2 linked regions of the Astyanax mexicanus genome follow. The protein of the gene in region 2 binds, or shares a complex with, the protein of the main gene of each other region. Links are inferred from orthologs where the notes say so. Each region holds a gene or a part of one and is shown on either strand. Other genes may lie near its edges.

What was found.
Region 1: ttf2 (region 2) and akap17a share a complex: the UniProt entries of both Homo sapiens proteins name them as parts of the spliceosome. The link is inferred for Astyanax mexicanus from reciprocal best matches to the Homo sapiens genes TTF2 and AKAP17A.

The regions. Positions count from the first base shown.
Region 1 is NC_064418.1:636,685-649,195, reverse strand, and holds the start of akap17a (A-kinase anchor protein 17A), read right to left. Parts: upstream 4,629-12,511; 5' UTR 4,458-4,628; intron 2,634-4,457; 5' UTR 2,623-2,633; coding exon 1,867-2,622; intron 1-1,866. Other genes in the region: sowahca (ankyrin repeat domain-containing protein SOWAHC), read right to left, coding at 9,554-11,254. UniProt on the Homo sapiens protein: Splice factor regulating alternative splice site selection for certain mRNA precursors. Mediates regulation of pre-mRNA splicing in a PKA-dependent manner.
Region 2 is NC_064418.1:26,406,806-26,418,678, forward strand, and holds the start of ttf2 (transcription termination factor 2), read right to left. Parts: upstream 5,682-11,873; 5' UTR 5,581-5,681; coding exon 5,553-5,580; intron 5,330-5,552; coding exon 5,218-5,329; intron 3,608-5,217; coding exon 3,521-3,607; intron 3,435-3,520; coding exon 3,365-3,434; intron 3,055-3,364; coding exon 2,086-3,054; intron 200-2,085; coding exon 79-199; intron 1-78. UniProt on the Homo sapiens protein: DsDNA-dependent ATPase which acts as a transcription termination factor by coupling ATP hydrolysis with removal of RNA polymerase II from the DNA template. May contribute to mitotic transcription repression. May also be involved in pre-mRNA splicing.

The sequences.
Region 1 (12,511 bases), about 26 Mb from region 2:
CTAGATACAGATTATATCTGTACAGTATCATTTATTTCACTTCCCTCCTGAATATTTGGAGTGCATTATGTCTCCTTATGTTGTGTAGTTATGTAGTTTTCACCCCAGAATTTCTGCTGCCTCACACCAGGCTTCGGCTGCATCGCAGGGCAGGAGCGCAGCTGCGTTACGGCTATTTCGTTTGAATTGTGCAGTGCAGAGTATTACAGATTTTGTATTTTTGCACTTGGGCTATTAGCTCAATATTAAATATTTCGTTTGTTTATAAATTATTTTATATTCTTAAACCATGTTAAATTATATTCGATTGGAGGAAATTAATTCAGACATCATTTCTTTTTTGTCCCGTTACCGTTCCGCAAAAAAAATCCTTCTTTTAATCCCGCATCAGCCCGCCACATACACAGTTTTGCCGCACCTGCCCCGCGGTCCTAAATAAATTTAATAAATTACATTTAGTGCTTAAAATTAAAAAAACATATTTATTAAAACCGCGCTGAATAGTGCGGTCACGTTTCTTACCACATTACAAAAAAAAATCGGTGTGTGTGTGCGCGTGTCGGTCCATTCTCCGCTCCTTTTTTGTGCTTAGGGTTTTTTTGTTGCGTGCATGAGAATCACTGCGTGATTATTACAATTTTCTTAACTATTTATTAATGTGCTCCCACATCCTCTGGATTGATTAAACTCCTGTTCCCGCCAATAACAATTCAGTTCTGTCTGTGCCGCAAGATATCCTGACGGGACCCGCGTCATATAATATGTTGATTAAAATGTCGTGACATTAAGAAATCGGCTCGCAAGAGACAACCGACCAAAAAAAAGACATTAGTTCCATTTTAAAATAATAGAAACCTGTCCTTTATGTTTGACAATTTTTGTTTCACTTTACTTGTCCTTACTCATCTGAAGTTTATTTATCTGAACTGAGTTTCATATGGTTATATTTGTAGCGGTTCTGAACTCAGTTCCGCGTGCTGTGAAAGAGACAAGGCGCAGCGCATTTTACCTCAGACTTGGTCAGATAACAACATTTCAGTAAAGATGGTGGTTATAGTTTTATATCATTGCTTTGCTGTTTGAACTACACTTCAACCAACCTTACTATTTTTACCAAGACTGAGGCGCAATGCCGCGCGTTCTCCGCGGTGCTCACGCAGAACAGCCAGCAGCCAGACAATGAATTAATATATTTTACTTTCTCAAAATGTGACCACGGAACACCTTACATGGCTCTATGGTTTACCTTGAGGTGGGTGAATTAGTTTGATGTGTTGGCGAGAGGTGCAGACACCACTTTCCGGCAAATCTTGCAGATGATTCTATTCTGTTCTGAGTCTTTTTCTTCCTTTTTTCTCAACTTACTGAGCCTGCCCTGTAGCTTCCATTTCCGAGCCAATATTAGTGCTGCTAATCTTCACTCTCTTCAGCAGCCTCAATGGAGACGAAGTGAGCAGGAGACTCCAGAGCTGTTCTGACCTCAATGAGTACCACGCACCGCGTTTTGCTTAACCCATTCGCTGCCGCGCCAGTGCAGCGGCAGCACAGATAAATGACAAAAAAATTTATATTCGATATTATGAATTTTGAGATCGTTTGACACCAATATCTATCGCGATCAAAATATATTTGATATATTGCACAGCCCTATAGTGTAGGACTTACACTTGACATATTAATACTGAATTCACCACAGTTGTGCTTATATGGAGCATTTTACTACCGCTCAAAACGCAGTCAATCAGATTTGACAGCCATAAAAAATGCGGTAATGACGGTAATGAGCTCATCACCGCGGTGACGTCCCATAACCGCGGTATTGCGGTAATAAAATTATCGTCACAGCCCTAGCTGCAGGTAACTGACCTTAATGTTGCAGGCCACAGCTTTCCCATCGTCTCCTTTATACATCAGCTTCATCCCTCTCAGAGTGTCCATGGCTTTGACGAAGCCGGTGTGGTCCTCGTACTGGATGTACCCTTCGAAGTTCAGATGGCCGCCAAACGAGAAGGTGTTGAAGTTCTTTCCGGTCATTTCCTCTCTGTAGGGATCCAGCATGGGGATATCTACGTTACGGATTTTACCGAAGTTCTCAAACACGATTTTAAGAACAGCTTCTGAAGGCCGGTCTGAAGAACTGTCCTTCAGGGCGAACCACTTGCACGGGAGTCCCTCCAGATGGATGGTGTCCGGACGCTCCCCGGGGACGGTCTCGTTCATGTCTTTGGCGTCTCTGAAGAAGGAGTCCCAGTCGTGGCGGGTGGGGAAGTCCACCTTGTTCTCCGCCGCTCGGACCTTCAGGATGTCGGTGAAGCCGCTCAGCTTGATGCTCTTTCCGTCCAGCTTCGCCACGAAACTCTTAACGATTCCCCGATTCTCCACCTCGCCCTCGAAGCGGATGAAGTCCATGGTGCTTTTGGAGATTCTCAGCGAGGAGAAGAGCTCCGGGTGAACCATGTTCTTCAGCCTCTCCATCACCTCCCAGTTGGAGATGGACTTGCCAGGCATCTTGAGCTGAGGCAGGGCCACGCTGATGGTCATCTTGGCGATGGGCTTCAGGTAGAGGTGGTACTCCTGACACAGATGCACAGCTTCCGTGGTGTCATGGATGATGGTGGTCATTTTGGAAGCAGCTGGAAGGTGAAGCAGAGGGAGTATGAATGAGGTGAATGGTGAAAATGACTAAAGACAGAAAAAGAAGTTGAAAGTATCTTCTTTTTGTTAATGTTTTATTTGTAATACATATATATTAATATATTTACACATTTTGGAGGGTTTAAAGGAATACTTAGCTAATACGAATCTTTGTTGGTTTACAGCAGGAGATGCTAGGCTAACACTGCTAACAAACCCTTTCTTTAGGATACCAAACATGCATTCATTGGTTGATGAACTGAATCTGGAGTTAATATCTCCAAAAGTTAACGCCTACATTACTTATCGAGTCTCTTCTCAGAGCTACATATTCCTTGTATTCCTGTTTTCTGTATTTCTTTCTTCTGGTAACATATTTTGTTTTGTGGATTGCTGCAGCTTTTAAAGTGTCTTATGGAAGTTGCTGTCACTATGATCCACAAAATCTCTCAACATTTTGATTGCACATTTAATTTTTTTTTGTGACTGATGAAATCATTTTGTGGCCCCTTACTGGAGCACAGGGATGTAAAGGTTCTCTATGGAGTGAATTTTGTGCCAAACGTTTTACGCAAAAAAATAAAATCCGCAATCAAAATCTTAAGAATCAAAAGAAAAAAGTGTATGGGGCAAAATCAAAAGAGAAAAATATATATACATTTACATATACATTATTTATTTATACATATACATATACATTTTTTTGTATTATTAGTATTATTGTCATTTTAAGGTTTATAAGTTTTATTTTATATTATATTGTTTTCTATTACATCTTATTTGAATGTTCCTTTTTATCTTTAATTTTACAGTTTTTTTCTCTCCATTTTTCCTTTTTTAATAGTGTTTTGATTGCCTTTTTCTATGTACAGCACTTTGAGCTGCATTTTAATGTATGAAAGGTGCTATATAAATAAAGCTTATTATTATTATTATTATTATTATTATTATATACATTTATAAAAAATACTTGGATACTTTATTATTCTTTCCAGACATTTGAATTTTGCCCGTCTCTGCTTAATTTTTGTAAAACCAGTAAAAACTGAGCCAAAACTCAGAAGCAAAAAAATGAAGCAGAATCAAACAAGAGATTCCACAAGCAAAAGTCTTTGACAGAAAAATCCACAAAATTCCACAAAAACACAGAGGAAAAAAAGGAAAAACGGAAAAATCCAAACTAATATTCTTATCAAAATAACTGCCAATAATAATAATAAAGTAAACCAAGTACATTTAAAAATATATATACTTGCTTATATACTTAATATACTTTTTGCAAACACTTTTGGCACAAAATTCACTTCATAGTTCTCCAATTCATTCACTGATAGAACTATGAATGGAAACATAAATCTGAACCCTTTAGATTTAGGTTACCTAGTTGAAAGCTTCTAAAAGCTTTAACACAGAAAATAATCACAGTAAATGGTGATAAATAAACTGGGAGATATCTGAAGCACTATTTTACCGGAGTTCTGAGAGGAATTTGGGGTCAAAACCGGTAACAGAGGAGGAGAAACAGCAGCCCGGTTGTTATTAACCTCTTACTCATGTAGCTAACAGATAGCTTAGCTTATGTAGCTACAGGTTAGATAGTAAATGAACCTTAGCGCTGTTTTACTAAAAAACACGTTTTTAATGAGATTTCTGAGCTTAAATGTGAAATATTTTATCAGATAAACACACAAACCTTAATCACAGATCCTGAATCTTCTCTGATAGAGTAAACAGAGAATCACTATTTACTGAATCCAGCTGCTGATTATCCTTTACTGATGCAATTACTAAACCATCAGAAACATTATTAACCAATAACCTACCGGAGACACCGCGCTGTCTGTCTCTCTGTCTCTCTCTCTCTGTCTGTCTGTCTCTCTGTTTTATTTTCTGTATTTTTACATCTTCAGGCCTGAAAGCGTCCCTCACACAGAGCCGCACAGTGAATCCAGCAGCAACCGACTACCGCCCGGCGCTCTGCTCACACACATTTCAAAATAAAAGCTCTATAACAATTAAATATCTATATTAATTATCTATACCGTCTGACATTTGTTTATACCAAAGACTGAAGTTGAAAAGAAAAAAAAATATTTTGCCATTAAAAATTGTATATTGTAAATATTTGTAAAAAAGAAAATGATAATAATAATATATTACATCTGGTAAGTAGTACTGTAAATAAACTGAGCTTTGAAAATTTATTTTAAACAATGTAAATTTACAAACCCTTATTCTGTAGTAAAGCAGTGCTGGTACAGATGGTGTTACTGCACTCTCTACTGCAGCCTTTACACACTTACACACAGCACTATTACTATTAAATTATTTTCTTATTGTTTATTAAACTGCTTTCTCATTATTTTAAAATAATAAGTCCTTAGATTAAGATATTAAGTCATTATTTTGCTATAGTTATTCCTTATTTTGATATAGTAAGTCCTTAATTTAAGATACTATCTCATTATTTTAAGATTCCAAGCCATATTCTTAGATAGTAAGTACTTATTTTGACTTACTATCTCAAAAATAATGAGATGAATTTCCTTAATAATAAAAAAAGAATGTGCTGTATTTTTTTTAGGTGACGGAAATGGGCTTCCATTACATTTACACTTTCATCATACTTAATGTTAATATAATAACAATAAACAGTGCTGAAAATAAATTAAATAAACATTGAATACAAAATGTACTACATTAATATAAATATACAAAAATACAATAATAAAAAATACCATGCTGTAAAATAAAAAAAACAGCCTGACGAACTAGATTCAGGGCACGTCCCATTAACTCAATACATAAAGGACTTTTATTATGGCAGGGGTCAGAAACGTTAAACGTGATAGCTTCTTTCACAAAGCCGAGCAGTAGCGCCATCAGGCGGTGTAGTGTTACAATACCTTCATTTATAATACATAACCTTTTCTTACTGCTATTATCCATCATAATAAAAATCATTATATATATATATATATACGATATTACATTTTTTTATTTCTATTTTGGTGCTTTTTTTAAAACACTAGAAAATTAATTACTACAAATGTACAGAATAATGTATAACTAAGCTGTAAACAGTATCTTATTCTATTGCACACTAACTAAAACAAATTCACACAAAAGGAGAAAATGTTCACTCTCAGTTTGTTTATATATTTGTTTTTTGTTTGTTTGTTTTTTTTAGTTTTTTGTAGTAATGAGCATTGATGTGTTTTATTTGTCTGAGGGCACAAGTGCATGTTGTGTTCTCTCTCTCTGTAATTAAACTCGAATAACACAAAAAAACACCATCATAACCATCATAATGGTGCATTAACTGCAGGCTGGCAGAAACTGGCACAGTTTCCTGGGGGATCTGTGCTGGAAATGATGTAACAGTGATGAGCTCACTGGTTTTATAGGTCACTGTTCACTCAATGTCCCACTAATGTTAACATAAAGCAAATTAAATAGTGTTAACAGATAAATAGATAAATAGAGATGTAGGACAGGACTGAAGAACACATACACTCAGCAGAAAATACAAAAATGAAGCTAAATCAGAGTTTAACATGTTTATTTTAGTACAGTTTGATTACAGATGAGCATGATGAGTATGGATTGGCATGGATTGGTGTTGCCATGTTGATTAAAATTGGAAAAATCATAACTGGCTTCACCCACCTTCTCCTTAACAATTCCTTCTTTTAAATATCTAAAAATATAGTTTTAATCATGTTTGAATCATGTTTTATTCTTATTTAATTTTGGTATCCATTTTATTTATATATATTTTTTTATTTGACTTCTCGGTGTATTTTCTAGTTTGTAAAGCACTTCAAATAACCGTTGTGTATAAAAGGTGCTATATAAATAAACTTTCCTTGCCTGACCATAAACAAAAGAAAAGTTTTTATATTATTATTGATATTCTCTAAAATAATTCTTTATGCAGTCATACACACTCCCCATATTTTACACTGAACTGTATGATTACACTGGGTCTCTGAACATTTGGTAGATCTGACTTTTTATTATTATTTATAAAATATTATATTTTATATATTATATATTTTTATTTGTATATATTGTACTGTTTATTTTATCTTTTCTTTTTTTACTGAGTGCCTTGCTATCCCTTTGCTGTTGTAATACTATGAATTTCCCCACTGTGGGACTAATAAAGGAATATCTTATCTTATCTTATCTAAATTAACATTTTAAGTTAAGTTAAGTCTTCCTCTTAGAAGAAAAACTAAACACTATGAATTAAAACAGATGTTTAGAGTTTCATCTTCTCAGACTCTCAGTTATCAGATGTGTGGAGGAGGATCAGGTAACTTCAGTCTAATAAATAATGAACACACTCCAGATGGCTGACTATTATCTACTCTGAGAAACGATCAATAATGAAATAATGATTCACTGATAAATTGATGAGAATAAAAAACACTGTTAAAGTGTGAAACTGAAGTTGTTCTTAAATAAAATTGTAGAAACAATTTCTATTCTATTTACTGAATTTATCACATAGAAAAAATAAGAAATTAATGAGTATATGTACATTTAATGTGCCAGCACTTTAGTATGTTTTAATATGTTTTAGTGTGTTAAAATTAATTGTGTAGCAAAATGAGAATGTAATGTATTTACACTTTATTTAACACAAAATCATCACATATTATTAGATTTGCTCATATAATTTCATTTCATATTACAGTATAATTTATTTATTATAATATAATTCCTATATACATTATTATAAGTTGATTCTTGCTGTGACTATTTTATATAAATACATTTATATGTAACAATAGTATAGTATAGTATAGTATAGTATAGTATAGTATAATACTTGTTTTAAGTAATGATATCAGTTGAATCCTCACCCACCCGTGAAAACTGTGCCAAAACTCAGAAGCAAAAAAAAATGTAATTCCAGGAGCAAAAGTCTTTATCCGCAAAAAATCCACAGCAAATTTAATTCTCTTTTGAATTTGCATCATATACTTTTTCCTTTTAATTCTTAAAAAAAAAAATGATAGCGGATTTTATTTTGTTTGCATAAATTTCTGGCAAAAAAATGTACTCTTTACAAATCATTGTAATATTACAGTCACATTATTCTATATGTTTTTTACAGAAATCTGAAAATAAGAAGATTAAATGATTATATGTGCAGTAATCTCATTTATTGTAGTACAGAATAAGCAGCACAAACACTGAGGAGGTGAAGTCTGAGTCTGATCCAGTTTCTCTTTTACAGGAGGATTAAATTCTGATCACATTCACAAAAGTAATGTTCCAAATAATCAACAAGATTCAGATTATAAAAATATATAAAAAGTGCATTACAAATAAGCATGTACAACATATTAAACATATTAACATATTAAAAGCAGGTGTGTAACAGTCATGATTGTGTTTCACATTTATGCATAAACGCACATCTAAAGCCACCAGTACCATTTTACACTTTACAATAAATGTTACATTAATTACAGTCCTTATAACAGAACATCTCAACTAATGATTAACTAACATTTAAATATAATTTACATACATTTTTCTTAAGTATTAACATTTTTGTAATGTCAAGTAATTTTTAATAATGCCTTAAGTAGTTTCAATTAAGAATTTGTTGAGATATTAATTTTAAACATTTAATTAGGCCTGTCACACAAAATATATATTTGTGTCTATATATTGTCCCATAAATAATTGCAATAAAGGACAATTTTATGCCACTGATATAACAATAATTGCATAGCATAAAATTACAATTACATGAATTGTAACAGTAATTAACTTTTTTAAAAGAAAATTTAGACATTCAGACTGACATGAAATATATATTTTAAAATATATAAAAAAAAACAATCATAAATAAAATGAAAGCACAGTTTGTGAAGTAAACATTTTGGCTATTCACATTAATGTGATTATTTTTTTTTGCTAAAAAAAGCATAATATAATGTGATATTAATATATATATATATATATATATATATATATATATATATATATATATATATATATATATATATTACTTTAGGAAGTGCTGTTAATTGATGTATCCTTATTGTAAAGTGTTTTTAAGCATCAGAACAGCAACATTAATCCAGTTAAGGACCGGAAGACGGAGGAGCAGTAAAGGCACACTGTTCACCATCAGAACACCCAAAACAGAACCGTGCAAAAACTACACCAGGTTTACAGCAGGCAGCGTGCATATTTTATATTTCACAACTTTATAGCATGAATGTGCTTCAGAAATTCACTAGCTAGCATCCCAGGTTAAAGGGAAATTCCACTGATTCACCTACATTCTTAATTCATGTTAAAAAGAGATAAAAAGAGCAGGATTTGGTGATTGTGATTGATTGTAGAGAAATATACTGACTCAGATTTCTTTACTTGTGGTGAATAAATGCAAGCATCCTTCTTCTATACCTACAACAGAAATATAGACATTTTTAATATGGAATGTTGAGAATAATTTAAATCCATTCACCACCATTCTCATTATTTTTTCCCAATTGTCAGAGAATTTTAACACTAAACCCACTCTGAAATAAAATACCTGTACTTCATCTACATCTTAACCATGTATTTAAACTGTGTATTTAAAATTCTACCTTAAAATATAGCAAAGTGTCAAATGCATTGGTCCAGTAGTGCTAATCCCTATTGGTCACATTTTCACAACATAGATTAAAGCTTTACTAATTTGTTTTTTAATTCGTTCTTGTTAAAGAGCCTAAGTGCTTGGATATCCAGGCATATCTGAGTGTTTAAGCCCATTAGCGAAACGGGGAGCTTAGTGCCGCGTGAATGCTTCAGGGGGTGAAACAATGCTACACTGTCCGACAGCACCTAAGAGGTAAAATTGGGACAGTTTCAGGAAAGGTCCTCGTTCAGAGACGTTCCTCTATTATCCAAAGAGGTTAGATACGGGTCTGGACTTGACCGGACTCTTCAGGGACCGGTTGCCCTCTTCTGTCTCTCTGAATGAGGTGCTGTGAACTATCTGAGTCCTTATCTTGCCTCTATTTAGCTTGATCCTGCCAATGGAAGCCTTGCGATACAGCGATTTTGGCTTGGCCTGGCCGTCAGACGCAGGTTCCTCCAGCGGGTTGAGAAGTCTCAATGGGTTAAGGTTGGACTGGAGAACTTTGGGAAGGCGCCACCATCCAGCACTGTACTCTACATTTTCAACACCCAAGTCAAAGTCCTTGCAAGCTCCTACAATATCCTGAATGTCCTTCGCCACCGAGGGATCGAGGTACTGGGAAGGCTTCTTCCCACTGTAGTCCCTCGCCTCAAGGTCCGCATTGTAGGCTCCAACCAGCAGCTTCATGACCTCTATGTGGTTGTGCATGGCTGCTAGGTGGAGAGGGGTGTACCCGGCACTGGAGCGGGCGTTCACGTTGACAGCGACAGAGTGCTGCTGGGCGAAGGTGACCAACATTGCGAGCAACTCGTGTTTTCCTTGCTTGGCAGCCCAATGCAGGCACGTGAAGCCGGTCACAAAGTCCTTCTTGGTGACAAGACTCGGCTCGCAATCCAGAAGACGCTGGAGACTGTCCCACTCCCCATCACTGGCACACATCATCCACTCATGCTCGAGAGGGTCTAGAGATACCAAAGCACAGTCCTCGTCCACAGAGGACAGAATAGAACCCGAATCCCCATCGCTCTTCAGAGATTCTCGTCTTCGGCTCATCATTTGACTTTGGGAGCTCCTGCGCAACAGGTTGCGCCTCACCTGTGGAGAACTGCTCATCATGATCTCCACAAAGCTCCTTCGGCTCCCTCTTGGTGTTCCTGTGCCAACTTCTGCGCCCAAACCTGAGGCACCTAGAGCGTCGACTTCGCTTACGCCATCGTCAAAGGAAGCAACCAGGCTTCGCTGCGACCCTCGAGAGGATCTGCGGCGGCTTGCCAGTTGAGCCGCAAGAGCTCCTTTACAATCCATGGATTCATGCTCCGCGTGATTGGCCAGTTTTCCAGAAGTGGAAGTAGGGCAGGTCGTGACCTCAGTTACATCATGCTCAGCTTCACATGCCTCTCTGGCATTCCCAGAACATTTTCCACAGTCCTTTCCTTTCTGTTCTTCCTGTGCCAAGTCAGAGCTGGTCACTTCAATCAGGGCAATGTCTGAAACACACAAGTCAGATACTGGTTCTGAGTCTGACACATCCATTCTTTTGTCTTCTTCTTCTTCTTTTTCTTTTTCATCATGAGCATCATCACCACCACCAGCATCATCAGCATCCCCACCCACAGCACTGAGCATCCTCTTATTCCCCTGACCATTAGTCTCCCGACCATGGCTGTCATCTTCATCTTCACACCTCAGATTATTATTCTCTGCATGACCCTCATCATGATCTGCATCCCTCATCCTCCTCTTCATCTCCCGGTACTTCTTCTTTAAGCACACCATCTTCTCTCCGTTCTCCTGCTTAACGTAGGCAATGTTATCCACAAACCGTTTGAAGGTCTCCCTGGCCACAGTCCTGTCCTTCCCTCCAGTGAGGAACTCTTTAAAATGCTCTGTCAGCTCCTTATTCCTCACACGCCCCCCTTTCTCCAGCAGGAACTCCAGCACAGACTCCTGGGTGCACTCCATCCTGCTGTTCTGAGATGTTTATAAACAGAGTAATGGATGCAGTTTGTGCTCCATCCCGTTTTTCCTCATCTAAAGTAGCGCAGCGGTTTAAACAGGAATAAATCAGGGGTAGAGATGCAGGCAGGGGTCGCAGTGTGTTCTGAGCTCAGGGTGGATGAAACTGGACTCCTGGATCCTCCCTGTTGGCTCCCAGCAACTCCGCTTTAACATCAGGCTGCGTCTCAATTTACTCCACCGCTCCCTACACACTTAAACACACTGCAACACGAGCAGCATGAAATAACAGGATCTGGGACTCAAAAAAAGGTAAAGTAATAATAATAATAATAATAATAATAATAATAATAATAATAATAATAATAATACATTTTATTTTTTACATGCGTTGCAAATTCATCTTAAAGTGCAAAAGACAGCAAAAAAACAAACAAAAATCCCAAACACAAAAAAGCAAACAATTAAAGCTAATTGAATGCTAAAATGTAAAGTGCACATGTAAGTAAGCAAAAATACACATTATAATGAAAATCAGGTAATAGAAAGATATATAAAAAACAAAACAATACAATAACAAACTTTAATTAGAACCAGTTAATAGAAAAATATGAAAAAAATAATAAATAAAACTTTAATAAAATGCAGATCAGTACCGGTGAATAGAAAGATATATTTAAAAAATAGAAAATGATAATCTTTAATAAGAACCGGTTAATAGAAAGATATAAACAAACAATAAAACAATAAACTTTAATAAAAGGCAAATTTGAACCAGTTAGGTAATAAGTTAAGGTATTGCGTTAGGAAGTTATAAAAAGACAATAATTAATAAAGTTTGATTAGAATCATTTAATAGAACGATAAAAAAACAATTAAATGTGAAAACAATTAAATAATAAACTTTAACAAAACAAACACTAGAACCAGTAAATATAAAGATATATAAAAAGATTAAAAATTAGAAATTTTAATAAAATGTAAATTCATATGAGAATCAGTTCATAGAAATACCATAGAAATTCCAATAAAATAAATACAGATTAATATGATTAGAAAACAGATAAATAAGAATAATAAAAAGACTAATCAAAAAGGAGCTGATTGTATCCTATTTTTTTAAGCACATTACCAGAGGGAGCCTACTAAGGGAGCAGAGCGCGATTTGGGACACGCCCCTGTAACGGCCTCTCCTCGCGGAGCCGGAATGGACAGAGGCTGCTTAGCAACAAGGCGAGAGGAGGGAGGAGGAGGGGGCGGGGC
Region 2 (11,873 bases):
TTTTCTTTTAGTTTTCAAATGTTACAGCATTCCAAGCTTAATCTGAAGCCTATTCTAGTGTTTAGTTTAGAATATTACCAGTTAGAGCAGAACTGGTCAGACTCAAAGCGTCCAGTGCCTCTTCCAGCTGCTTTACTTGACTCTTCAGTCGCTCTCCTTTATCGGGAAGTGCAGAAACGTTCACCGCTGAGAGGGTGGCCTAAACAATGGGCAAATATACAGGGAAAGGATAAGCTGATTAATACTACAAAGGCTTTGGAAATTGGTTGCTTTGATTTCAAACATTTTACATTAAGATCACACCTGCATATTCAGAAGATCAGAAGTTAATGTTAGTCTATTTACATGTCACGTGATTTCATATCCAGACAATTTGAGTATAAAATGTATGCTATCTACACTCAATTTGACATGAATGACAATGTTTTGATATGCATCAGCTTTGGTTTTCCCTTGTTACAAACAAGCTCTCATTCAGACACGGCTTCTCATGTTTAGCTGAGATGGTGCCAGAAACCACAAATATTTTGCTATATGTTAGACTTAATAATGAATAATTTAATAGCAACAGCTTATGTTTATATATATTTTTAAACATTTCCAAAAGGCTGCACACTACTGGAAACATTGCTTAACATTAATAATGCATATTAAAGGAGAAGTCCGGTGTGAAACGGACTTGGGTTGTAGTGAAACAGGATAACAAGTACAAACTTTACTTTGTACAGCATTCAGACATACAGTGCTTTGAACTGATGTTCCCAACAGACTATCCAATACTAGGGATAAGGGAATAGCGTTACCCATGAAAAAATATATATTTTCACACCATTAACAAGCTTAAAGTTACTTCAAACATTATTGGCAGAAATCCAAGAGCCCTGAGTCGACTTCTAAGCACAAACAAATAGGTAAGATAGGGGAACAGATTGCTAAATTAATTCTGAGGAAATGCATGAAGTCTAACTGTTGCTAAAAATATCTTTAGATTATTCATGCAATTCCACAGAGTTACTTCTGAAAACTGTCGCCTTCGTCAGTCGACATATGATGACTCAATGAAATGTTTCAATTAACTACCTTTGCGCTTTCAAACCTCTTTTTTTTGTCAGGGCCCTTAGAATTCTGTCAATGAAGTGTGAAGCTACCTTGAGCTGGTTAATGATGTAAAAATAGCCATTTCTTTGCATGGGCAATGCTTTGCCCCTATTGCTAACATTGTAAGCCTGTTGGGAGCATCGGCTAGAAGCGCTCTATTTTTGGAATGCTGGCAGGGAACAAAAGTGGGCTATTCGTCAAAAGTTTGTAGTCATTATCATTATATATATTATATATTTCACTGCACCTCAAGTCCATTACACACCAGAGTTTTCCTTAAATAGAGTAAAATTAATTATGCTGCACATATATAATCTGCCTCTGGTAATTGGGAATGCCTATGGGAAATGGGAAGTGTGGGAAATTTCAACACTGCACGGCCTGTGACGTGACTATCATGAATGTGCATGATGACCCAATATACCCAATATACAACAATACATTTCCAATATTTTAAGTTTACATTATTTGCAGCATCTGTCACGGACTGACATTCGTTACAGGAAGCACTACATGAACTGGCTAAATCATTGGGTTTGTAGGTAGAGGTATTTGTTGTGGCCATTCTAGGCAGTTTTTCCTTTGGTTTTTAAATTATTTACATCAATATCAGAACTAAAGTGTGTCAACAGGAGTTAGAACTATATTGTGATCTAAATTTTGGCCACACTGTCCAGCACTAATGTAAAAAGAATGAAAAGAAACCAGCTGAATTTTTTTGTAGTACATATGTCTTGAAAAGATTATATATTTAAACTGCATCCTGAAACACTCTTGAAACAGTGGTGAAATAGCAAACTGTCAGCAGTGCATCTTGATTGCATTTACATATAGCCTTTTTTTTATAGCTACTCAATCAGCCCAAGATGCATGGATTTGCTAAGCATAATTCATTTTGTCTGAAAAGGAAAACAACAGCAGACAAATAATGAAAAAAGATGCATTCATTAAAACAAAAGTTATGTAAACTGAAAAATGCAACAGTACCTTCTTCTGTTTAAGCTGGGATGTTAGTTGGCTGTGGAGAGCTCTGGGGTCTTCTTTACTCTTGACTTTTGAGGCAGGCTGGAAGCCAGCGTAGGATGTGAGGGTTTTCTGAACCTGTCTAGTTGGGGTTAGGGAGGCCTGTACAGGACCTGGCTGCACAGACACCAGCTGAACATCATTATCCTCATCACTAAACTCTCCAAAAGGAGAGTTAATAGAGCTCTTGCTCTTCTGAGTTTTCTCCTGACTCGGGTTAGATTCTGTAGCTTGGGTACCATTTGGAACTTCTAATGTAGAGTTTGGGTTGTCTGCTTTGGCAGGTTGTGGACTAGGCGTCTTTTTAGTGGAAGTTAGTAGCTGCGAGTCTACAGCTGATGTAACAGTTTCCTTAGAGGTGATGTTTTGCTTTACACAGTGTACGGCAGATGTTTTATGACGAATACCCTCAGCTTTTTGAGGAGGGGTTTGTTGGGAGACTTCTGACTGAACTGTTTGAACAGTGTCTGGGGCTGCTTCGACCCTTTCCTCTTTATTGTGGACCCCTTGGGCATATGATTTCAAGTTTTTCTCCATTTGTTGCTGCTTTATACTTTCAAACTTTTGGTTAGCGTTTGAAGCCTCAGTGTCCTTTGCTCCAGTAGCAGCCACTTCACCACTGCCACTGTTCTTCCTCTCCTCATCAGATGTTCGCTTTTTTATTTTCATTCCTGCAGGAAGTTGCTTATTTCTCCAAGACTCTTCAGGCTCTTGCTCTGCACAACTGGTGACTTCTCTATTTGAGACAGCTGTACTTTTAGAACCTCTCATGTTTTCTTGTGGCACTTCTCCTTTCACTGCTTTTCCTTCTTGAAGTTTTCTCCACTCTGAAGTTTGGTCTACTTTGCTAGGGGCTTTGAAGGGGTTTCTAACAGGAGGTAGACTTGAATGGTGATTCTTTTTGTCTGACAAGGGACTCCTTTCTGTATCTTTCTTTAAAAGAAGCAGAAAAAATATACCAAAGTTTTTTTTTTTTTTTTTTTACATTTCTTTGTTTGTGATTCTCTTGTTGTATTGGACAGTCAAGAATAAACACTCTACAACAACCAGCTGTAATAATGGATGGATTGAACTACATGGAGGACATTGGTTATTTTAAAAAGAAACTAACATCAGTAGGTAAGTTGCTTGGCTTACTGATGCTTCTTTTTCCATAACCAATAACCTCTCTGTAGTTAACTGCATCCATTACAGTTATACTAACTTAATTAAGCTTAAGCACAACTTAATAAGCAATAGTTACCTCTAACCATGGAATACTCCCACACCACTTCTGTCCCTCTTTCTTTCCTGTCACGCAGCGATACAATAACCTGATGGTTAAAAAATGATTTATCAAAATATTCGTTGCAAACCTTCCATCACAATATAAAAACACACAATTAAAAACACAACTTACTTGTAATTGTTCTGTTTTTCATTGTGAATTACAGCCTGAAGTTCGACCAATGCATCTTCATGGAGAAGGCAGTGAGAAGGTGGAACTCTTGACATTAGGAATAAACTCATATTAGCAAAGTACAGTATCTTCAAATAAACACCCAGTCTATAATACAAAGCCAAGGATACAAACCAATGACTTATGGCATTAAACATGTTCTTAAAAACATTCTGTCAAGTTGTGCTTTTTGTCTGTGCTGCACACACAAAAAAATTATGTGTTTTTCATGATAATAGTGTTCCTCTGATGCACCAAACAATTTGATCTTACTGTTATTATTTGCTTGAGATATACAAAATGATACAAATACACAGTGTTGTAGAAATGAAAATGAAAGGTGGGTCAATACCCACCTCTCGTCCGGGGTACAACTCCCCTGCGTGTTCGTTTGATAGAGAGAGTCAGACAGGTGGAGTGAAGTTGAAAGCAAACCAAGTATTTATTACAAAGTACTGGATCCAGGAGAACATACAAAACCAATTATTAGCTGTCTCAGTATAAGTTCTGACCCCCCTCTAATCTGACTCCATGTTTATACCCCAAATGACGTGAAACCTGCTGATGAGGCGTTGCTAAAATCATCTCATGTTAGCATGCGTAGTTTCACAGGTCTGACCGGACCACTAGTGTTTGGCCTTGACTGTATCCAGCCGGACAGTGTAGTATTGTTTCAAGAATTGACTGGGTCCAGTCAGACAGTGTGATATTGTTTCAGTAATCAGACAGTGCCGCCCTCCCTATGTGCGCGTGTCCTCCTCCCGCTTTGGTAGGTGAAGAACTTTGCACGCACAGAGAGAAAGGCCGCACTGTTCGTCCCGAAGTCTCCTTTGTATCAATTCAGTTCGTACAGAGTGCACTAGCTGATGATTGATGGCCGTTAGTCAGAAACATGCAGTGAATGAAATGCTTCAAGCATAAGCTACACACGTCACACAATGGATTCCATATATTATATGTTAATGTGTTAGTAGCGCGTGGTTAGTCCGCCATATAATAGGTCCTATGTGTTAGTAAACGTGTTATGTATCGTGTGGGTTAATTTGTCATAATAAAGTCTGTGTTAGACACATGCCTGATCAAACAATGTTTTACTATATATGTAAAGAATATATTGTGATTATTGGTTAATCTTCTATATAAATGCGTGTAAAATACACTGTGAGTAATAAAAATGATCAAATACAATGTGAGTATTGGCTATGCATATAGAATACAAGGTTCCACACAATGATTATGTAATTATAGATACTAAGATAAGTAATCATAATTGAAAGATATTTGTCAATACACTCAAGGTAAAATAAACAGTTACTCTTCAACAGTAATACAAAAGTGTACATAGCAAGACAACTTATATAAAGCATTTTAAAATATTTACAGTGTATTTACTTTAGAATAATGTAAATTACCATATAAACAGCTCTGGAAAATTTAAGAGACTACTTCAGTTTCTGAATCAGTTTCTCTGATTTTGCTATTTACAGGTTTATGTTTGAGTAAAATGAACATTGTTGTTTCATTTTATAAACTACAGATAGCAATTTCTCACAAATTCCATATAAAAATATGGTCATTTAGAACATATATTTGCAGAAAATGAGAAATGGCTGAAATAAGAAAATAGATGCAGAGCTTTCAGATAAGTCAGTACTCACTCGGCAGGCTGAGCGAAAGTGCAGGGTGTTTCGTCGCGGGCTGTACAAACGTAGAAACTCTTCCCTTTATTCGGCCCTTCCTTCACCCCGGTCTTCAACAAGCAGAACCCGCCTGAATTAAAAACACAGGGTTAAATAGGCTCAGCGGTTAAACCAGGCCTGCACAGTTCAGGCCTGCAGATGTTTCGGTTTGTTGGCTAGTTAATGTTAGCACTTTCAGAGCTAACGCTAAACTATACAGCAAAGCACTGGAGTGCGGCTACCGGCTAACTAACTAACTAACTACTTACCAGTTTATTCATAAAGTGAACTAACCCTAGTCACGTGCCGCTTACCGTGTTTATCACAGAGAACCCTCTGCATGGTGTAAAGTGGTGTAAACTGTAGCTCTGTGACGGAGCTAATGTAAGGAGCCCGCTCGCCGGTTAGTGTGTACTGCCTCCCCGTAACGTCCTGATGGCGTCACCTCCCCGCTCAGCCAACCGGGTCAGGAGACACCAGAGCTGCGCTTCCTCTCCTCACCACCAGGTGACACTCTTACCTCATACTGGAGACACTGGAAACCATCACACACCATCTGACCGAGTAAATTCATCATACACTATAAACACACTTCTACCTGCTTCACTGCTGGGTCCTCCATAAAGTCATTATTATGAAATACCAAGTCATTATTTTATATACAAAATCACTGTTTTGAGATATTAAATAATTATTTTTAAATGCTACATTTTTATTTTTATATACTAAGTCATTATTTTGAGATACCAAGTCATTATTTTGAGATACTCAGTCATTATTTTTAAATACTAAGTCATGATTTTGATATACTAAGTCCAAGTCATTTTTATGAAATACCAATCATTAATTTGGGATATTAAGTCATATTATGAGATACTATGTCTCTATTTTAATATACTTAGTTATTATTTTGAGATACCAAGTCATTATTTTGAGATACTAAGTCTCTATTTTAAAATATACTTAGTTATTATTTTGAGATACCAAATCATACCCCCAGACATAGTATCTCATAATTATAACTTACCGTATTGTATTTATGGCTTCTATCTCATAATTATAACTTACCATCTCGTAACTATGACTGTCTCCCTTATAATTATAACTTACCGTATTGTATTTTTGACTTTCTATCTAATAATTATAATTTACCATATTGTAAGTCTAACTTTCTATCTCATAATTACAACTAATAATCTCGTAATTATAACTTACTTTTTTCCAAGTGGCTGTAAATGCATTATGTCTTAAATTCAGACAGAATAATCAGACTTACATGAATGTTGGGCTGTACTGATTACATTCAATATCACAGTGTTATAGATACAGTACCAGTCAAAGTTTAGAAACACCTCTTCTTTCTTTTTATGATTTTTTCATTGTAAAATTTAATATTGAAGGCATAATAAAAAAAGAGTTCCTGGAGGTGCTGAAAAATAGTTGGCTGCTTTTTCTTCACGCTGTGAAGCTCCAGCTCATCCCAAAAGATTGTTTTCATGTCTTAAATATTCATCTAAAACATACAAAATAAAGTATTAAAAACATTGTACGGTATATCTCTAACTACAATAAAACTTGATTTAATAAAGTCATTGAGCACAATAGCAATATTACTAATATTACTATGTCCTTCATAGAAAGAAAAATGACTATGTATTTATTTTTAAACAATCTGAAGTAGCCAGTAAATTACATTTACATTTACATTTACATTTAGGGTATTTAGCAGACACCCTTATCCAGAGCGACTTACAACAGTGCTTCAATGTTACTTCAAATATCCAAAGCTAGTTTGTAGACTAGGATCAAGAGATACGCAGATCTTGATCATGTTTAGAACCCTAGGAACCTTTTTTTATTTTTTATTAGTTTAGGAAAGATGTGTCTTCAGTCGACGTTTGAAGACCGCAAAATTACATATTGGACATTGTGTTTAACTGTCAGTTCAAGGATATCCACAAAATAGAATTAACCAAGTTAGAAAACAAACCAGTTGGGTACACCATTTATTTTACCCTACTGTATTGTTTATTATATGTTTTAAGAGAGTAAGAAAGTGCTAATTTGCAAAACACATGTAAAGCCAGTGCTGTGCATAGAACAGATGGGAGAATATACTTTATACTCTATATTTGGGTCCATAATTATTTGGAATGTGTCATATGTTGAAATTGGGAACACATGAACACATGCTAATGGTTTAGACTGATATTATTCATCACTCCTTTGCAGCAGTTGATTGGCTTTAAATCAACACCTAAGATGCATGTCTGTGCTTTTGCATGTGACTGAACAAATTTTGAATAACATTTTAGTAGTATAGTTTTTAAACCCAGATAGCATACCCATGTGAAGGGCCCAATCAGGACCAGAAGTGGTTAAACATGGGTCTCATCTGGGTTATACACTGCACATGAGGCCTTGATGGGACCCATGTGAGAATAAGATGGCTGTAATGATGAGGCCCATTTATGAGGCCCAGCTGGGTTTAGCATCACAGGTGCAAACCCATTTAGAACCCATGCCCACCTGAAACCCACCTAGCCCCATGTTTCACTCATGTGAGCCCCATACGAAAATGTTGGCTGGGAAGTTATATTTAGTGAACAGGAATAATGCTAACTTACAGAGGACAGACTGGCTTGCAGTGATGGTGATGAAACAGTTGAGAAACAGTCGTGTTGTGGCCAGAAGGCCGCACACTCTTTTGCCCCCCTGCCTTACAGAGCTCTCGCCACACACACACACACACACACACACCCCAGATACAGTACACAGCCTTGGGGCCTGATGAGTGGAGCACACATCAGTGCACAGTGCAGTTTGAAACATCTACTGTGCCTCAATGAAGAGCAGGTTGTGTTTGGTTGATTTCCTGCCACTGATTCAGACTATGTTACACACTTTGGTCACGCACATGTAGCCCTCAGGTCAGGCCTCTGAACTGTTGTAAGATGCTTCTAAGTTAAAGTAGGACAGCAAGAACCCCCTGCTGTCACATCAGCATAAATATCACCTGAGGCTTGACAGTGTAGATGAGGTAATGTACGCTTATCAATACTTTGATATGCCTTTTTTTGTGCTGAGACAGACGTTTATCTGAGTCATAATCCTGTTATGGAAAGTGCCATTCGCTTACAGCACTTTTCTCCCCCTTTTACACACTGGCCTCAGATATTTCAATCAGGGTTTCCCCTGAGGTGCCACAGCGCACTGAGGGAGGGCTGAGGAGGAAAACACACTGCAGGGAAGTGTGAGTTCTAACTCTGAAGCACTATATGACTGACTAAACTAATCCTAGCTAGGGAAAAGAAGACATGGCCCAGGATATCAGTATTGAGATGTTATTTACTGCTATGCTATTCCATGAGGTAGACTGGACTGGGGTTTGATTCCCCCACAGGCAAATGTATTTTACCACACTGCACAAAAAAACCTTGGAAAAAATTCCAAATACTGCATTTTTCTGTTTCTGTAACATTAAACCCGATCTCTCTCTCTTTCTTTATGACTGTCTGCTAAGTTATGAAAAAGGTAAATAACAAATATAATGCCAATATAATGCGTAGCAGTGGACAGCATGAACAAATCCAGGATTTGAGTGAACATACAGACTTTTTGTAAAACAGTCTATATCTATATGTCTACATAAGAATTAGTGTAAATTAAATTACAAGAAAACATGTATCCAAAGTAAAGCTATGTCTAGATATTATAGTTACTGTTTCATTTTTAAAAGCTTAAGGCTAACTCTACATGTGTCCAAAGGTTTGTGGACATCCCCTCACAGTCAATACATTCAGCTACTTTAAATTGTATTGCTAATAGAATAGGCCCTTTTGGAGCATATAAATATGAATTTACTGGCCCCATGTGTAAAGTTTAGGCATTATTTCTGCTTATGTATTGAACTGTGAAACAGTGGAACTATGTTCTCTGCAATGATGGTGCTTCACCCAGTATTTTGGAATGAGGTGCCCACATCTTCAAAGTTTATGTCACTTAATGCAATTAGTTACTCACAGCAATGCTAGTCTAATTGAAAGACTTAGAGAGAGATACAGTAAAGAGTTACTCTAACTAAAGCAGATTTAACTCTTTTCTTAATCCTCCTGAAGAAACAGTGAATAAGCAGGAGACCTAAAACTGTTCTCCAGTTTGTGAGTGTTACTGCTGTTGGGTTTATGTGTGAAGGAGTGTAAGGACTGTACGGTGGGCTTCGCCAACAAAAAAGAGACAAACGTGTCCGAGGTAAGAGCAGAATCCCTAGTGTTTTTTTGTTTTTTTTAGTTCACAGTACACAGAAAAATATAAAGAAAAACTGTACAAAAATTAAAAGAAAAACTATACTTAAAAGATAAGAAAGTAAAGAAAGTCTATACTTTTCTATATGCAGTTTTTCTTTGTAATAAATAAAAAGCATAGATTAACTAGCTGTTCTAGTACCAAAACCACTTGTTGTTTTGTAAGGTTAATGAAAAATGAAAGACTGGTTTAAGCTGACAGAAATATTACAGTAATTTAAATAAACAGAAAAGCTTTTAAGAACACACAAAATGTCTAACTTTGGCTACAAATAACAAAGGCCACATGCAGTTTTAATAAATAGAAGCATAGGTTAACTAGCTGTTTTAGTACCAAAACCGTTTGTCGTTTTGTGAGGTTAATGAAAAAGGATAGACTTAAGATTAGATAAGCTGACAGTAATGGTACAGTAATTTAAATAAACAAAAGAGCATTTAGGAACACACAAAATGTCTAACTTTGGCTACAAAAAACAAAGGCCACATGCAGTTGTACCTAGTGTGCCTAATAAAGTGTAAATACATGTTGTTAGTGTCTACCACTGCTTACCATCAAAATAAAAATACACAGTGTCTAACACCGCCACCTGACCACACTTATATTGTGCTTTTCTGTAATGTATTCTCCACTTGATTACTTCTGCCCAGCAAATACAGCAGATATCTTGACACTGAGCTCATCACCATAATCGGCAATTGCAAAAGCCGCAACATTGTCATCCGTCAGCAGGATTAAGCTTGTGTTTCTTTTTGCTTAGGGCTTTTTCTTCTATTTAAGGGCCTTTTCTCATTAGAGGCTAAAACATTTGTGTGTGTGTGTGTGTATGTGTATAGTGTGCCTTTCTCTTTTTGCAGTCCCAGAGCACTGTAAAAAACCTACAAAACAGTCAGTAGGGAGGAGGGAGATATATATTTCTCTCCTTTCCAACAAATCTGATACAAGAAAACAAATTGAAAGGTCATCTTCTCGCAAGCCTAGGAAGGATCTGTGTCTTATGTCTCTCCTGAGCCCTCAAGAGTGCATTTTGTGTCAAAAATTGATTTGTTTGTAGCAACATGCCGAGTTTAACAAGCCTGAGCTCACCTTATGAATATCAATGAGATGTGCTATTGTAAAAATTCAGGCCTATTCTTACTCTTGGTTTCTGGACAGTTTACACATAATGATGATATGTTAAAGGTCTATTGACTCAGAAAGCATAAAATAAATAATGCCTGAGGAACGGATCAGCCTTGCAAAAATAACAAATAATAATGTAGTGGAAGAAAGGGAAAAATAATTAAAAGGGATGCAGGAAAGCAGTATCTACAAAGAGAAGGAAAAGAACTGAAACTGTATGTATTACACCATGCTTACACCTTGTCTATGTCTGTCTCTGTTCATGTCTTTTTAATTTAAGCAGCTACTTCCTAAGATGTGTATGTGTTTGCATATAACACTAGTGGTTTGTGTAAATTAGTAACATATGTAAGTGTGTAACGATACCTCATAACAAAGTACCTTTAAAATACCTTTAAACCTACATAGAAGTCATCAGCAGCTTGGATGATTATAGATTATAGACGTGACTGACATTCATGCACATTATCACAAACCCAATATGCAACACACGTACACTGAAGCAGACACAATGATTACCTTGACCACTTCTACGTATTATAGAGTACATGTGTGAACTAGCTCTCAATAAACAGCTTCTGATTGCCCATTTAGAAAACACTTGCGGAAAGCAATTTACTATTGTCAGACAGGGCAGAGGGGGAGAGCGTGGGAGCTTAAAGAGGCACTATGTTAATTTTTTTTTTTAATCCAAAAACAAACCTTGCAAACATCCTAAAATATGGTGTCCTTGTGCAGCATCTTTCAAATAAACTGTTGACACATAATGATGTCAAATTCAGATCAGATATTACACTATATATGTATCAAAGCTGCATTATCAAACATGCATCTAATGCCAATCATGTACTAGAACACTTAAAAAGCCTGTGGCCTGATACTCTCTCACGTCTACAGACAATTTGTCATTACATTTCCTTTTCAGATTCTTTCTTTTCATACTGCTCCTGGTTGTTATTTACAAGAACAAGGGACAATGAACAATGAAATAAAAAATAAAAAAAACACAGAAAAATAAAAAGCCGGAGGTGAATATTGATTTACCCCTTAATAAATGAACTGGGCTGCCTTGCTGCTTTAGGTTGGGTGCTTATTGTTTATTCACAATGTTCATGTCACAATGTGAAAGAGTCAATAGTTAAAATTTCATTAAATATTGCTGATTTTATCAGGACAAGAAAATGACTTTTTTTTTTTACAGCAAACGATTA